Drosophila melanogaster: one gene and its partner. The protein of the gene in region 1 interacts with the protein of each later gene in a pairwise test. Each region holds a gene or a part of one and is shown on either strand. Other genes may lie near its edges. The genes, in order: CG15572 and pod1.

Region 1 (4,924 bases):
GCGGCGAAGGCAATCCCTGAATCCCAGGCGACTTGTGTGTCAGCTGCATTGGGGCCCCACTGCCTCCCCTCGACCGGTTGCCAGCAGCTAAACGGGCTAATTGAAATGCAACTCGAAGGCAGAGTGGCCGATGTCCAAGACTCCACCCGACCCCTCTGAGGTGTGATGCTGGCATTTGAGAGCCTTGAGCTTGCGGTCATATCAACAAGGATACGTTGACTAAGACGGGCGACCTCAATCGCGTCCTTTGTGTTTGATGTGGTGTCAGCTTCGGGCGCAAATCATTTACTTTCGCCTGTCCCACCTGCAGTATATACCAATGTATATATGTATGTGCAGTACATATGTGTGAATGCTTCATTTCGGTTTGATTAGCGATGGCAAAAATAGACTCTAATAGATAAAATATATCATTATCTAACAGTATTATATGTGATTTTAGTGATAACCGCTTTAGCTTTTTCAAATCTATGTTGAAAATCTATCTTATCAGCGTGCATTGCTGTTTCGCCATCCCTAGCAGAATGTGCGAAGCTATTAGTTCCTCACTGAATAAGCGATTGTGTGCGGGCAACTGTTTGAGTTCACTGATTGTTGCGACACCGACTAGCATTTAAAGGGTCCAAACAGAATGCGGCCATGGTCCGTGCCATCCCCATTAATTCCACACCCTCGAGGGAGGCGGAAGTCACTGCGCTTGGGGTTTAGTCACGCTTATGTCCTTGGCCTTACGTCTCCGTCCCACACACACATCCCCCCTCCCCCCCTCCTCATTTGTGATAATACCTGTTTGGTCTTTGGGAGCTCGGAGCTTCAAGAGGTCCTAGGTACCTAGCACCGACTACGTTGTTTTCACGCCCGTTGAACGGGGCAAGCGAGCGTGAGGCGAGCACATTACAATGATGCAGCACCACCAACTCTTTCTCCACAGCCAACCAAACCCCCCCCCCCCCCCCCACCAATCACTAGGGCAACTCATTTAGTATCTTGTGTGTGTGTGTGTGTGTGTGCAGAATACTGCGCACTCTGGACCCAGTGTTTAGTCCAGTCAACTGGCTTTACTCAGCTAAATTAGATTTTGTGGTGCGTAATTTGAAAATTGTGAAATTACCCAACACTGCGGAGTCGAGTCAAAATGGAGAAGTGACGCGGCACATTAACACCCAACCATGCCAACTGCGTTTTCTTTGAGGGTCGCTCACTAATGTCGGATTATCCGCTTTGAGCCTTTTTAAGAGCACCCAAAAACACACGAAATTAGTGCAATCCAATTGCCAGAGCCCCAAAATGGGAAAGAGCAACCCTTGAGCAAGATTGGCCATAATTCAAGAACAAAATCCAATTCTTGTGATTTTCGCACCTCATCACAATGTCTAAAAACAGGCCCGGGGCGCTCCCCTTATTCGTTTGCTTAACGCATAACTTTTGGGCCCTCGGTGGCATATTGTTTTACATGTTGCTCCTTTGGATAAACGGATTCGGCTTGTTTTGGCCTGCGGAAAAGTCGTCCTTTTTGGGTCGAAAGCGACCCAAGCGAAAAACTGGAACCCAAAAATTGTTATGTTGTTGAGGTTTTCCGTTTATTCCATTATTTATGTACTGCACACGCTTAGGCTAAGGCCTTTCCTTTGTTTGGGAACAGAAGTAGTACAACATATTTTTTAGAAAGTAATATTAACAAATAAATTCATTAGCAAGCACAGTAGGCAGCGATTTTACCGTCTACGTTACTTGACGTAGGGCCTTTTCTAGGTATACATAACACATACACCCTCCATTCGATCGGCAAAATTTATCTTTCGGCAACATACTAAAAACTGTTGTAAATTATCGTATCTGTATCGTGTTCTTCTGTTGGATTATTGGTCCCAAGTGTGTAGACGACTGCCCGTTCTCCGGTTTTCCTCCAGACCGTAATAAGATAACCGCAGAAAAGTCCAACGAAGCAGCTCAACAAAAATTCTAAATATAATACCGAGAATAATCATCAACCATCAAATACATCAGTCCACTAGCCGAATTAGCAAGCACTGTCCTGTAACCAGCATACCACGCCTTTGGGAATATCTATTGTGACAGAGGACGAGCAATGGAGGATTTGCATTTAAAACTCGGCGATCTGCCCCAGGAAGTATTGGCTGCACGGCACAGCATGATTATGGGCCAAAAGTTGGCTGGATCACTTGGTGAGACACAGCATCACCTTCAGCATCAACATCACCTGAATCACCAACTGAACCAGCTCAATCAGTTGAGCCACTTGAATCAGTTCCATCAGTTAAACCAATTGAATCAATTGAGTCAGCTACACCAGCATATACAACATAAGATCTCTTCGGGGATGAACCTAAATTTGGATCTGGACCATAAGATGGAGACGGAGATGGAGTTGGGTCTGGGCCTTGATGTGGATGTGAATCTGGGAGTTAATCTGGACATGAATCCGGAGGGCAGTATTACCAATAGTACCAGCCGTACCAGCAGTGCTAGCAGGACCAGCAGCACCAACACGTGCAGCGATCAGGGGCAAGGACATGGATCTGGGATTGGACTTGGTGACCCAAAGCGGGACCAAAGCCAAGTCCACTACGCCCATGACCCTGCCCAGGATAATGGCGATTCACCGAATGTCAAGAGTTGTACTGGAATGTGCAGCCATCAAACAGAGAGCAATATGAATAAGGGGGATTCCCTAACGCATACCAAGTCTTCATCGCCGAAGACGGACAAGGGGGAGAAGGATAAGGAGGAGCTTAAAGCGAAGGAGGAGGAGGAGGAGGAGTTTAAAGAGGATACGGAGGATAAGAAGGATAACGAGGACGTTTTCCAGAAACAGGAACCGTCTTCTTCCATGTTGATTAAGGCGGCCAACTCCAAGCTAAATGTCAATGCCACTGTTTACACGATGCCAGCCAAAGTAGAACCCCTTCATGACGGATCATTCGTGCCCCAACCGAGTTCCAGTGCCACCTCACAGGGCACTGGGGACTATCGCCTCAATGCCCAGGCTGCTGTATTCAAGCCATCTTTGATGTGCATTTGCTCGTTGGCTTCGCCGGTGGTTTTGCAACGACTACGTCCGATTGTAGTACGGCCACCACTACCGGGGGTATCGCAACACCTGATGTCGGACATTTCACAGCCTCTACTGCCGAACTCGCCACTGATGAGCCACGAGTTCTTAGCCCATGGTTTTCATCCAATGCAAAGGTCGGGCCATAAACCAAGTGGCCGCTGGCGCAAACAACCGCTTCCGGACTTGTTCAGCGCCGTCATGTCACTGGTGACGGAACTGAAGCGATCGGTGAGCTATCCGGAGATCATAAGCTGCCTATCCAAGAGACTCCATCGAGCGGAGGTGGAACTGAAGCGCCATGTACCGCACACATTGCACGCCGCCGTTAACAATGGCTATTTGAAGAAGGAGGGCAATCGCTATTCCCTGCTCCCCGAAGTGGAACAGGCTGAGATCATGCGACGCAACATCGCGGATGCTCTTCGGGCCAAGGAGCTGGAGAAGGAGCCGTTGTCCTGGCGCAGGCGTTAATGTACGCAAAACCAATCCTCAACTACGTTCACAACCTGGCATCTACACGCATCATCCCGCATCCCGCAATCCACATTCTGCATCCTGCATCTTTATCATCACATTTCATATCCTTCTGCTTCATACATTTTATAATTAAGCTTGCACAGCACTCGAGGCTGTGAGCATGTAGTCCTGTGCGTTGCACAACCCAGAGCCCCGAGTTCTGTGCCGCCGACGAGCCCCGCAATTTGGTTTTACTGTACGTGACCTACGTCTGCGAAACAGCGGTCCGTGTGATCCTCGATGCGTGGCCTGTGCTTAAAGGCACGCAATCTTCGATCCGCGATCGACGAGCAGAAGAAGAATTCACGATGACAAAAGTATACATTGTATACAAGTCCAATGGGGACGGTTTAGTCGATATGCTGCCTCCAGAGGATATTTCGTTGCCTGATGTTCCCTTCAGCGTTAAAACAATCACGTTTTTCTGGTTAAGCGCTTTATTATTGCAAGCTATTCGGGTAAATTCATCAAACTTATTAATGGATGGAGATGTGGGGTTAATAAATGGCTTCCGCTAATTGGTATGATTACGTAAGACCTACGCAGTTATAAATCAACAATTCATATATAATTTCAACCATTCATTTTGTATTTCATTGGCCTGCTACTGCTCATTGAAATTCTGCTATGGCCATTAGTATTTTTTTTTTTTTTTTGCATTCAACTTTGTGTTTATCAATTTAGTCAGTCGTCCATCCATCTCTCAGTCAGTCAGGCATTCCAGTCAGGCAGTCATTTAGACGGTCGGCGGTTGTTCCGATCTGTACAGTTAACTAGCTATTGTGTGCAGAGTGGCGAGTATCTAGGAGCTCATCATGATTGTTTTGTAATTGGAATGCGACAATGCGAGGCCAACAAGGAGGACGGAGATGGTTGATGGTGGATAGATAGAGGATGCCATCTCCCAGTATGCAAGGACAATAACAATAACAAAAGCAGCAGCCACGGCAAGGATGAGAGGCTGTGGGCGGAGGGTGGTAAGGACGAGGAGGAGGACGACGAGTGAATGCCAACTCAACTAACAATTTGCTTCAATTATAAAAAGCGTCGCGACAAAGTGGCGCCAAGCAAGCGACGGGCGGGAAGGAGTGGGTGGTTGCATTGGGGCATGAATGTGATGCTGTGCTGTTGCTCTGGTTGTTGCTTTTGCCTTTGCCTTACTGTTGCTGCTGATGAAATGGGTAAACAGTGGACAGAGTGGCCCGGGGGTATGGCCTGGTAATCAGCATGGCGACGCACTGCTCCTTTGAGTCCTGAACTGCCTCCTTCTCGAGAAGAGAAGCGGCTCTGTGCTGCCAACCATAGATAGCAAAAAGCAACCGAAAGAATTAA
Region 2 (5,196 bases), 2.5 Mb from region 1:
TATTTAGTTAGGGTTTTATTTAAAAAAAAAAAAAAAAAAAAAGAATGTGTTTACTCACAGAATATCTCCTTTTGAGTGCTGAGATCGAAGAGAGCCACGCAGCCGGCGGCTGTGGAGTACATCAAACCATCTGCTGTTGGATGGAAGCCCACTGTCTCTACGCGTCTCTGCTTGTGTGAGAAGATTGCCTCCGGATCGGAAAGCGACTGCTCCAGACCTTTTTCCGGTATGTGCCAGATCTTGACCTGTGGATTGCAATGGTAGTGATTGATTAGCAGGGGGACTTTGTGTCATGTTGACTATCTAATTTGTGACTAATGTGATAGCGTTGCGATGAAATTATGGTTTCTGGTGAGTTATTAATATTAATAATAGCATATTATTGATTGTTCGTTCTTATCACACTCATAAACTCATTATAACATGCAACTATTTTATCTGTAGCTTCTGGTAAATAAACATTTAATGTTTGAGAAACGGAAAATACATTTTTATTAAATTAATAATATTGCAAAAATAAAACAAGAAAAAAAATATATTCTGAGTAACTCTATGGACATATCATTGGAAAGTAATGACCTAACACATAATATATTTTTGAAACATTTAGGGGTACTCCCAAATAATATTAAAGGATCTCTTACCAGGCAATCCTGCGAGGCGGTGGCCAGCAGCCCGTCGTGGAACGGGGAGAACTTAAGGTCCGTCACTGTGTCCGTGTGTCCATGGAGCAGCGGCATGGTCTTGCTCTTCCGGCCGCAGTCGTCCAGCGGGAGGACAGCGACGCTGGACCCGGTGTGCTCCCAGTTGAAGGCCATGAAGGCGCCGGAGGCGGCGATGTTGTTACCGTACGTCTGGTAGCTGCCCACGCAGATCTCGCGGACGCATGCCTCCGCCTTGGGCACAATGGGTGCGGCATTTTTGTACTTGGAAGCCTTGAATCGCCAGGCCATGGTTGGCTACTTGGTTGAGCTGGGAGGGCTTCGATCCGATGTGATGGCGATCCGATGCGGATGTGGATATGGATATGGACGTTCTCTGCTCGAGTGTAGAGAGTCGATTGTGGATTGTATATGCCCGATGCTTGATGCCTGATGGTCGAGTGTCACTAGTCCGGTGGCTCCCTCTCAGTCGCTCTCTTGCGCTTCGCTCTCCGCTCCGCTGCTCCGTTTCAGAGTTTCGTTTCTGGAAAATGGCAAAATAGCCGCATAAGTACGAGTATGATATCACTTGGGTGCGCGGGGGACATTCCACAGTTTGTTATCGTCTTGCCCGCCGCTCCTGACTCATCGTCATCCAAATCCGATAGGGCAAACAATAGCCGATAACCGAATATAAATAATAATACATTTAGCAAGTATGGATGGGGAAAAAAAGAGAGATGCACTTGCTATTGCGGCGATACGTCTATTGAAAAGAGAAAGCTGGACAAGAATGGTGTCCACCAAAGCCGGATGAGCCAGCCAGCCAACCCGACCAACACTCGCGCATTTGGCGTACGTGTTTGTTTGAGTATGTATGCGAATGTTTGTTTGTACATCATCAGGAAAGGCGAGGAAAAACACTGGGCAAAATATGATGAGTTCCGGCCGGTGGGGGTTAATTTGGCACACCTAAGGGTTAGTGATCCTCTTTTCAGCGTTATTTCTTCACTTTCTGTCAAGCTAAACATATATTTACTTAAATTTGCACTAATTTCTAATGTGTAATTTGCAAATATGAAGTACGTGTATGAACAACTGCTGAAAATGGCAACACAAACAGTATGATCCGAGCGGCGGTAAGGGTTAATATGCCACACCTAAGGGTTAACGATCCTTTTGATAAATTTCATGGAGAGTTTCACACACACATACCCTTGTACAAACACAACCAACTGGCTTGCAGTTTATGGATAAGCACAGTGAGCACTCTGTAAACTAAACATCACAGTGCAATGGCATCAATGAGCCTTTGGATCAAACAAATAAAATATTAGTTTGCGCAAAAATATATATTTTTCTACGTCTTTAGTTAGTTATTACTTTATTTTTATACTCTACTCTCTGGAGGCCGCACTGTGTAGTCTCCCGAGTGCAGTAAGCAAACGTCGAGAGAGCGAGAGCGGGAGGGAGAGAGCATGCGCCAATTCAACTGTTTCTGTTTGTTAGAAAGCGGCAAAACAAATGACCACTGGGGGTAAAAGGAGGTGCGGCTGGGGGACGGCCAAGCAGGTATTGGCCAGCGGAGCCACCAGGTAATGGGGTCAAGTGATTTAGAAAAGCAAAATCAAAGGCAATATAACGAGGTGATGTTGCAAAGTGAGAGCGAGACGGGCACAGGTGCAACCTGCAGGAGAGCTCAGCGGCTAACGGTTAACGGATGACAGCGGGCGGCGTGGGAGAGCACGAGCATCTGCATCCCTATCTCTCTCTTTCGCTTGGTTGGGGGTGGCTAGAAACAAGCCGGCTAGCATTTTTGTTGTTTTCACCCACTGCCCACTAAACACACACACACACATTTGCACTTCTGGTGGTTGGTTTTTGGTCACTTTGTTGTTCTTGTTGTTGCTGCTTATATGCATTTATTGACATTTTCACAAGTTTTCCATCCTATATTTTGCATACATTGCATTTGATTATTGGTTGTTACTTTCTAGTTTGCGTGCCATTCAATGAAAAGAGGGGTGAATTTATTTTTATATACTTCTTTTTTCGCTTTTCCTTCGTTTCCTTTTCCTTATTTTTTGCAGCACACACCCTGGCGCCGGCAGAAGAAGAAGAGGAAGAATCCAAAGCGGCGGCAATGACAATGACAACTACAAATGCAACAACAAAGGGTGCGCGCGGGGGTGGAGTGGGGAGCAGTAGCCGGAGAGGGGGTGGTGCAACTACACCAACAAAAACTGCGCAAAGGCGACGCCGCTTCTTTTTTTATGGGCAAACAAAGGAGCAGTTTTGCACACACACACACTCAGACGCACACTTGAGTTGCAGTGCTGCAACTGCACACCCACGCAAACATACACACGGGAGGAAAAACACGGCGATTAGGCTCACACACACGCGCCGGTGATTATTCTCCCGCTTGTAATTACAAATATTGCAATTAAATTACCAATGCAATCAATAAACTACGCGAGAGATCTTCAACTTTTTTTCAAACGTTTTGTCATCGTCTATCGATAGTTTCCATCTCCGCGTGCTAGAGGTGGCACCCATACATCGCCACAGCGCTATCGACAGAGCTATCGATTGCGATCTAATCGTCACTTTCTTCGTCACTATTTTCACATTGTTTGGGAAGCATTTTAGCAGCACTGCGCGACGGTCACCGCATTTTGTTGTTGTGTTGCGCGTTTAAAATTGTATTGTTATTTTTTATATTTTCTTTTTTTTGGACCGAATGAGAGCCGGCCAAAAGTGCAGTGCGAGTGCGATTGAATTTAAGTGAATACAAAGTGCGGATCGCAACACAACTTTATAAATATATGTACATATATGTGTAGTTAGAGCGAGACGGGGCGAAATATCAAATAAAAATACTGTACTGTGTGTGTGAGCAAATACTAATACTACTCAAGCGGAGAACGATGAAAATGTGCGTGTGAGAGGAAAAGAGAATTTAGTGTTTTTTATATTATTTACTGGCCTGCGGCTATGAGCAAAAAGAACCGAATATCATTGCGGAAAAAGGAGAATGAAAATTGCCAAGAGGGAAATCTGTGAATCCTGGCGGAAACACACGGCCTCATCATGAATATACTGCAGAAAATCGGTCAGTATTTCGCTCTTAAGCGCTCTCTTCGTTTTTTTTTTGGCGACTCCTTGGCTTTTCCTTCCAATTTCCACACAGTTTACCGTTTGCATTCGCCTCCATCGTTTACACACATTCCTCCGCCTCCGCCTCCGTCTCTGCCCTTCACCATCCTCTTGATCCTATTGCCACTATCCCTGTACTGCTCACAAAACCCGCGCCCCTTTATCCAGCAACGCCCCCGCCTTTCATTGTTGTTGTTCGTGTTGTTGCTGCTGCTGCTGCTCGTTTTGGGAGCTGTCAACAAGTCTATTTTTAGACTTTTAGATGCTGCAGTTGCATTTGCCTCTCTTCCAGAAGTGTTAAACATTGAAAGAACAACTCCAGAAGCGAACGCAAACATTTTCGTTTTCCTTTCCATTTCCTCTTCCTATTTTCATTTCGTCCCTCGCACCTCCGCTGCGCTCCCACACACACGAACACACACTCTCGTCTTTTTTTTCCTCTAAAATTCTTCCTAAATTTATATGGTTTGAAACCTGGATAAAAAGGCTGTCATCCTAATTGGAATTTATCCTCTTGTCGTCTTTACTCCATTTGTATAAACCATAGAATTTCACTCTGCATCCCATATGGAAGGAAGCTCCTTGAATATTTCCCGGAACTCTCCGATTGCATTTGACCTTTGTTTATCTGTAGAATTTTGTTTAATTAAATCATTCCGAAAATCCTTATTGACTAGAGTTTTTGAGGCACATCACTCATATACATATGTACATATATATATTTAAATCGCATTAAACATTTCTCGGAAATCCTGAACCGAATTTGGCCTCTGCAAACGTTATCCCTAACATTTTCCGCACAATTTGTGGGGCTTAGCAGAAAAGTAGGCAAGGATTTTACACAACGTTTTACTAGATTAAAAAAATCGAAATATTTTTCTTTTAACTAATAATATCCTACGCTTTAAAACCATATTAGTAAGTAAGTTCATATCCCCTCTCGATGAAAGGAAATTGGGCAAATGTGCGGTTTCCATGGAAATACGCTCTGCTGACTATATTTATGCACTTTCTGCCCACATATGAGAAGCACTAATTTTTGATTTAACTCTAATCACACACACACACATTACTTAATACCTGCGAATGGTTGTTTTCGTGTGGTATTTGGTATTTGATTTACCATTTTCTGTCTATTATTATCCTGTTGATTCCGACTAAACGCCAAGGATTTTGATTACCTGGAAAATGCACTTGCTCTAGGAACAAGAGTTTAGAACGCTGCGAAAGTGGGTGGTTAGAGGAATTGTGTGAAAATGCATATTAATCCTTTGCCCCGCTGACCCCATTGTCCACCCTCGTTTTAATTAATTCCGTGAAAACACAATTCCTGCTGCCTGGTGTCCATTTATAATTGCACTTTTGTTTGACCCAGCATTATCCTGTTGATTCCGGT

The links.
Region 2: the proteins of CG15572 (region 1) and pod1 interact in a two-hybrid assay, tested with the Drosophila melanogaster proteins (one large-scale study listed by BioGRID).

What each region holds. Positions count from the first base shown.
Region 1 is NC_004354.4:4,266,942-4,271,865, forward strand, and holds CG15572 (uncharacterized protein), read left to right. Parts: upstream 1-1,759; 5' UTR 1,760-2,089; coding exon 2,090-3,547; 3' UTR 3,548-4,142; downstream 4,143-4,924.
Region 2 is NC_004354.4:6,801,667-6,806,862, reverse strand, and holds the start of pod1 (pod1 coronin), read right to left. Parts: upstream 3,180-5,196; 5' UTR 3,097-3,179; intron 2,768-3,096; exon of another isoform or gene 2,686-2,767; intron 1,879-2,685; exon of another isoform or gene 1,857-1,878; intron 1,736-1,856; exon of another isoform or gene 1,614-1,735; intron 1,479-1,613; exon of another isoform or gene 1,388-1,478; intron 1,186-1,387; 5' UTR 954-1,185; coding exon 645-953; intron 246-644; coding exon 59-245; intron 1-58.